Kluyveromyces lactis: one gene and its partner. The protein of the gene in region 2 purifies or fractionates together with the protein of the main gene of each other region. This does not show direct contact. Links are inferred from orthologs where the notes say so. Each region holds a gene or a part of one and is shown on either strand. Other genes may lie near its edges.

Region 1 (4,016 bases), on a different chromosome or scaffold from region 2:
CCCATATGCAGGCGGTGTTTTCTTCCTATCAATCCATTTCCCAACAGATTACCCCTTCAAACCACCAAAGATCTCTTTCACCACTAAGATCTACCACCCAAATATCAACGCTAATGGTAACATCTGTCTAGATATCCTAAAAGATCAATGGTCTCCAGCTTTAACTATCTCTAAGGTCTTGTTGTCCATTTGTTCTCTTCTAACAGACGCTAACCCTGATGATCCTTTGGTCCCTGAAATCGCTCATTTGTATAAGACCGATAGAGCTAAGTACGAGGCTACTGCTAGAGAATGGACTAAGAAGTATGCTATTTGAAAGAAATATAACAAAAAAAAAAGAAGAATGAACCGAAGAAAAGAATACTACAAAAGGACAGGGTTCGGCGGAAAGTAATATCATCTTAATCCGACTAAAAAAATACTCAAACCTTCCACCATTGTATATCCTACCCCTTTTTGTTATCGGTACTTTCAACTCACATCGTTTTGGACTTCTTCTGACACAATTCTCAACTTCAAGCTTTCAAGGTTTAAAGTATTAGAAAGAATAGTATATATATTAACGCACCAATTTTCTTTATATTATATTGTGTATGTGCTCATGGTACATGTAGGTATATATACCGTATAATTTTGATATATTTCATTTCCATTAGACGACTGTTTCCGACAGGTAAGCTAGAACCATTGGTTATAATTATACAAGATTTTTCAAGACTTTTCAAGACTGGTTTTTGTCCACAGACATTGGTTTCTGAATGTGCCAATTTGGTCACAATTATAGAAATGGAGAGACATACGCCTGATCATTCTAGCTAGTGAAAATCAATTTATCAATGCTTACCTAGGTACTAAAAACCTACCACAACTAGTCCTATATATATAGATACAACTGGGTAGAGCTGTTGGATACTCAACTCTTGTATGTTAAGGCTAAGCGCCGCTGAAACGAATAAGCCGTATGACTGTCCCAATATCACTTTATACGTTTTGATGTTTTTTGACATTTCGTGAATTTTGGAAAACACAGACAATCGGTGCAACTGATGGACAAACAAGATTCGGACCATACACTCAAAAGTCGTGCCGTTTACAGCTTGTATCAGTAAAACGAGAGGCAAGCGAGCTGGTAGTGAAGGAATTGATTCAGAATTTTCCTTCAAAACTACTCTTTATTTACTCTAGTGGTTCTTTCTGCGGAAAAAGTTGACTGTCCATGATTACAAGTTACCAGCGGTCCGATGCCGCCGCAATACTTCGAACCATCCAGAAGTTATTCGCAGATGATGTATTTAAAAAGCACCTCAATCCGAGTCAGTTACTTTTATTGAAGTACTTGTTGAGTCTACCAGACCAAGAATCAAAGACACTTATATGGGATGCGTTTCTCTCCGGCAAGTTGGAACTATTTGTAGAACTGAATACAACTCTTAATGCAACTTCCGACAAAGGTGCCACTAATGATTTGGTAGCGGCTACCAGATTACCATCATTATCAACACAACAACAACCTCAAGCTAGTTCTGGACTCTCGAGAACTGGCACTCCTTTACATGATTCGACTGATAACCAAAGTGTTGACGATGACGACAGTGATATGATCGATTTGGAACAATTGAAGGCCCAGCTAGATGGACTGGATTTTATAGGAAATTTATCTATGAAAGTCAGGTACGTTGTATGGGAACATGGACTCACTCTCCTTGAGCCAGAAACATCCTCAGAATACCTTCTACTTGACACGGATAATGATAGCGCTGTAATAGAGGATGGAAGTAATAATACTCTTATAGATCAAAGTGCGGTTCCCAACTCTTCCACGCTTCCTACAAATGACACAGCACCCTTGACTATGAAAGAAGTGAGCAAGAATAGCGAAAACAAAGAAGGCTCTGATGAAGATGATAACTATGATGAAGATGATGATGACGACGACGAGGATAATTACGATGATGCTGAAGAAGATCCTCAAAAGATAGAAAAAAATGATACAGAAAATGGAAAAATCTCTCATCCTAATGATCTTGATGAGAAACCCAAAGTGTCAGATGAAACTGAATCGCCAATTTACGAGCAACTTGATAACGGACTCATAAGACTGCATTTCATCATCTCAAAGGAAACTTTGAACGAACTTCCATCTGTAAATACCTACGATATCATCGGTAACTTTCACAAAATATATCATCTCTTTGACAATGATAAAGAGACCACTATGAGGCGTTTAAAACTTCAGGAAAATGATCAAATGCTAGAAAGCTCAAGGAAAAGGTCTCACGAACAGATTGAAGACGAAGAAGAGGATGACTCAGGGAACCCTAGCATATCTCATCATAAGTCTGCGGCAGATAAGAAGATCAATACTAAGACTAAAGCAGATATCCAAATGGACCTCGGTGTCGTAAATCTGTCATTAAGGCATTTGCTCAAATCGGTACAGGAAAATAAAAGTAAGCTAGATATTTCAGATTACGAACTTAAACATTTATTAATGGATGTTAGAATGAACAGATCTAAATGGGCTTCTGAAGATAAAATTGGACAAGAAGAATTATACGATGCATGCGAGAAGGTGGTACTGGAACTCAGAAATTTCACAGAGCATTCTACTGCATTTCTTAACAAAGTCAGCAAGAGAGAAGCTCCAAACTATTACCAAATAATTAAAAAACCAATGGATTTGAACACTGTGCTGAAGAAGCTCAAAACTTTTCAGTATAAATCTAAACATGAGTTTGTTGATGATATTATGTTAATATGGAGAAACTGCCTCACGTATAACTCGGATCCTAAGCATTTCTTGAGAGCCCATGCAATTGCGATGCAGAAGAAATCTCAACAACTAGTACCACTAATACCAGATATAACAATCCGTGATAGAGCGCAAGTTGAAAAAGAACTAGAAGATATAGACGCCGAGAGCAACATTAAAGACGATGAAGAGGATGCTGGTTCAGGTCGTAAGGGTATTCAGAGACGTGGTGTTCAAAAGGTTATTGACGATGAAGAAGAAGAAATGGAAGAGAACCATCCTGGAGGTAAAAAAACACGAGCAACTGATGCTGAACGGAATCAACAACAATCCACCAATAAAACAGTAAGCAGTGACAAAACACCTTCCACTAACGAAGCTGAACAAACGCCAGAAGTTGGCATAGTTTCTGCAGAGGGGAGAGGCTCCAAAGTGGCTCAATCTTCGACTAATAACGAATCTACTGAACCAGCAGTTGAAAGTAAAGCAGTGTCAACTGTTGAAAAAAACCAAGAACATGAGGATGCAGAAGAAGAGGAAGAGGAAGAGGATGAAGATGAAGAAGATAATGCCGCTGGAATGATGCTTCTTGAACGAGATGACGATAAGGACGATCTGGAATTGTCCACATGGAAAACACTTACAGCCAAAGCCCGTGCTGAAATTTGTTTGAAAAGATCACAATTGTTCAACGAACACAAAATTAATTCCGAATCTGATGCCCTCTTGAAAAATCCTTCTAAATTAAAGAATTTTGATCAGTTCTTCGAGGAGTATAAGCAACAGAAAGAAGCAGAATTTGCAAGACAAAAATTACAAGAACAGTCAATGATGAAAAACGGTTTTGGGGCAATAATGAACCAAGCAGATAGCAGTGTATCGAATTTTTCTGACACGAACGTTAAATCACAAGATGCCGAAAGTTCCTTGACTAAAGAATCGAATGAAATCACTCTCGAAGATTCTTCGTTATTGACAGAGTACAACATCACTAATTATATCCCGGACTTGGCATATACAGGTATTGGGAAAGAACAATTAGATAAAGCTGAGGAAGCTATGGTTCAAAAAATTATGAAGGAAGGAAAAGTAATGAAGAGCTCTTTGTTGAATACTGTCGATAAGGGGTTGAGTCCAAAAATGAACACGAATATCCAGTTGATACATGAGATTAGGCATATATGTCATAAAATTTCTTTGATTAGAGCACTACAAAATCCAAATAAACCCAAAAATTCACAACAACCGCTAAGGTTCAAAGAAT
Region 2 (3,639 bases):
CTGTTGTTCCTCCGTGAGGCCTAAAAGGTTATTGAAATCCGTCATCAAATATCCAGTGACACCTGCACCTTGACTAAACCCACAGATACCATCAAATGGTCCATTTTCGACAACGTACTCTTTCAAGAATTTCAAAGTCACGTCGGGCAATCTGTACTCCCCATGCAACGGATCCGGTTGAAGCCACGCGTGATAGTCATCCCCAGAAGCAGCGCCGATATCTGCAACATCGCTAGGAAGATCTGCTGGTGATAAATTAATTGGTGCTGTAGGGTAGAAGAACTCATATCCAAGTGGTTCTAAGACCCGACGAAAACCTTTCGTTTTCGATTCAAAATAAGGACCAGACTGGGCAAGCCCATGCAACATCAATACTTTCTTAGACATTTTTTAAAAACCCTAGAACTGTTTATCTACCTCACAGCCTGAAGCGGTGTTAAATCCAAATCCACTAATAATAGAAACCGGACATAAATACCTACCCATATACTACTCCCCTTCAGAATACTGGAACAGAATTGGAAAACGTTGATGAACTTTTTTTTTTTTTAAATTTTCCTTGCGATGAGCTCCCTCTCCCTCTCTCTCTTTCTCTGCGAATCGGATTATCTCCTAGAAATCTTCGTACGCAGCTGGTTTTTCCAGGTACCTCTCGAGAGAAAGAGTACAAAATGACTACATAAGGATGACTACGGGATACATGCTAATTTTGATACTCATAAAAAATAAAACTAATAATATATAAGAGATCCTGTAGACACCTCCACTCATTTGCCTGTATGGTTACAAACACCCCGGCTGATAGTAGTCTGTATATGACCACACTGAGCTCCCACAAGTATATACTATCTACCGTTTACTTATGTATCATTTCTTCCTTTTATTTTTCGCTTTTTCATTTTTTTGCTTGATTCTGGATCAAGTTTTTTCTGTTTAACTTTTCATTATATGAAATTCGCACTCTAACAGATGATGATCTAGTAATCAGATTCAGTTACAATTTTTGGGGAAACGGAGCAAAGTCTTTGTGCCTTAGTCATCCTCTAGCTCGAGCAGGGAACTTCAGCTAGATATTTTTCTGAAATTTCTCAGTGCTCGTGCGTGTGCTTGGCCAAAATTTTTTTTATTAGTTATGGTTTGTCCGCATATGAATCAAGTGGTTTCTAACCAAAAGCTTGGTGACGCAGTGTTGAAAGAATGCGAAACGGTACGATATCTGCTTCGCCACGCAGACTTCAAGAATAGAACTATGAGAACCATGAGATGTATGGATTGTGGTGAAATTAGCTGTGGATCGACTTTCATTTGCTTGCAATGCGGATTTTGCGGGTGCTGGAATAACAACCATTTCTTGGATCATTCTCAAAAATTGGGACACATCTTTGGGGTTAATTCATCAAATGGTCTAGTGTTCTGTTTCAGATGTGGTGATTTCATGGCTGATCTGGTCGCTGAAATTCCGGCTAGCCAATGGGATACTGTAATGGAAAAGACCGAGCTACCAGCTAGCTTACACAGAGATGGATTACAAGGTTTGGTGAACATGGGATCCACCTGTTTCATGAGTAGTATCATTCAAACCATCATACATAATCCATACTTTGTCGAGGACCTGTTATCTCATAAGCATTGCAACAATTGTGACATTAAATCAGGAACCAAGTGCGTCTCTTGTGCATTGGATGAAATTGCTTGTGACTTTTACGGGAATGGACCTGGGACAGGGAAGTCTTCCTCCGTTAGCAAAGGCTTTGTAAACCTTTTATCTGCATCATGGCATATCAATCATCATCTTGTTGGCTCGTCACAACAGGATGCACATGAGTACTGGCAGTTCTTATTGAACCAACTGCATACGGATCATGCACGAGTATTCGGATCGTCAAAGGCCCCTGATTGTCAATGTATCACGCATCGAATCTTCCAAGGATATCTTAAAAACACTTTACAGTGTTCTCAGTGTGGATTCTCAAAGACCACAATAGATCCAATCATGGACCTTTCCTTAGAGATCAAAAATAACCCTAAATTAGAAGATTGCTTAGATCACTTCCAAAGAGAGGAAACATTAACCGATTTTCACTACGAATGCCAAAGCTGTAAACAGAACCAGGGTGTGGTGAAACAGTTAACGTTGCATAAGGCTCCTAACGTATTAGTTATACAGTTGAAAAGATTCGAACATCAACTCAACGGTCAAAGCGCAAAATTAAATGATAGAGTACAGTTTCCATTGCATTTAAATCTAAAACCCCATTTATTCCAGATTGAAGATGAATATATTCCTAATATTGCATATGATCTACTAAATGTAGTCTCCCATCAGGGGACGGTTGATCAAGGTCATTATACCACGGTGAGTAAAACTGAAGATGGACAATGGTTTAAATTCAATGATTCTGTTGTCACTTCAGTAACGGAAGAGCAAGTATTGGAACAACAAGCATATCTACTTTTCTACATTATTCGTTGAATATGTTAAAAGAAGAAAAACTCCTAAATTGGTTTACTAGGTGGCTTCCGTATATATATGTCAGAAAAGAAACCCAAATAACATCACACCAATCGACGTGTTATTATTGCCTTTATATCTTTTTTTTCAATATACAGACCCATATATATATAGTATTCTATCTAATCGAAGAAATCATCATCATCATCATCATCTGCACCGTTGCGGCCATTTCTACCAACACCAACATTAAATTTGCCTTTGATACCTGATCTTATACTGTTATGACCGTATCTCTGTTTCTTTTCTTGTTTAGTATAATCATCTTCGTGGTTCATTAGCAATCTACCATCTTTCTCGTCTACTGCACCAATATCAACCATAAGTCTTTCAAAATCTTCCAATTTAGTATCTTTTCCACCAAGTTCGAGTAGTGTAACCAAATGTTTTACGACATCACCTTTGTAATAAACAATCAAAGTCGGACAGTTGTTATCTGGATAATTCTCTATTGCTCTATTACCAGGAATTTCCACGAATTTGATTTGGGGGAATTTGGCTGCTGCTTTCTCAAAGATACTAGATAATAACCTACTTTCAAGTTTGGCTTGACAAGTTAAATGAACAAACACATAAACCCCTCCTTCAAACTCTGAAGAACCATCATCAACATATTGTGATTTTTTAGTGCCTTTACTGCATTCTGTGATCTCTCTGTTGTAATCAGGTTTGCTGATTGGATATACTGAACCAAATTTTGCCTTTTCCTGTAATTTCTTGATCTCATTGAGACGTTTCTGTTTATAAAATTGTAGAAATTCCTCATCTTCTTCATCTTCCAAATCCTCCAAATCTGATAGATCCTTGCCGTCTAGTCTATTTTCATGTTGCTTTGCCAATGCTTCTTCTAACGCTTCTTCTAGCTGCGCAGTTGGTGATGGTGGTCTTTCTGGAATTACACCGTGAGCTCTTAAGATATCGTTCCACTCGGTATCTTCTGTCTCATCGACTTGCACTTGAAACATAGGCTCATTTTGCATTATGGTTAGATTGTGGTGCTGCAGAAGCTGTCAAGTAATCTTATGTGTAGGTTTATTCTCACCGGTTGGCTCAGTTTAGTATGAAATACTGATGCCTTCATGCTATTATAAATTTAAAACTTAAAAAAAAAAAATAGACACCATTCA

What was found.
Region 1: the proteins of UBP8 (region 2) and SPT7 purify together in Saccharomyces cerevisiae (affinity purification with mass spectrometry; 18 studies listed by BioGRID, with this or other methods). This does not show direct contact. The link is inferred for Kluyveromyces lactis from reciprocal best matches to the Saccharomyces cerevisiae genes UBP8 and SPT7.

The regions. Positions count from the first base shown.
Region 1 is NC_006041.1:1,117,426-1,121,441, forward strand, and holds the start of SPT7 (SAGA histone acetyltransferase complex subunit SPT7), read left to right. Parts: upstream 1-1,216; coding exon 1,217-4,016. Other genes in the region: KLLA0_E12563g (uncharacterized protein), read left to right, coding at 1-316. UniProt on the Saccharomyces cerevisiae protein: Component of the transcription coactivator SAGA complex. SAGA acts as a general cofactor required for essentially all RNA polymerase II transcription. At the promoters, SAGA is required for transcription pre-initiation complex (PIC) recruitment.
Region 2 is NC_006039.1:603,178-606,816, reverse strand, and holds UBP8 (ubiquitin-specific protease UBP8), read left to right. Parts: upstream 1-1,132; coding exon 1,133-2,473; downstream 2,474-3,639. Other genes in the region: KLLA0_C06996g (alpha/beta hydrolase), read right to left, coding at 1-387; PLP2 (Plp2p), read right to left, coding at 2,635-3,492. UniProt on the Saccharomyces cerevisiae protein: Histone deubiquitinating enzyme component of the transcription coactivator SAGA complex. SAGA acts as a general cofactor required for essentially all RNA polymerase II transcription.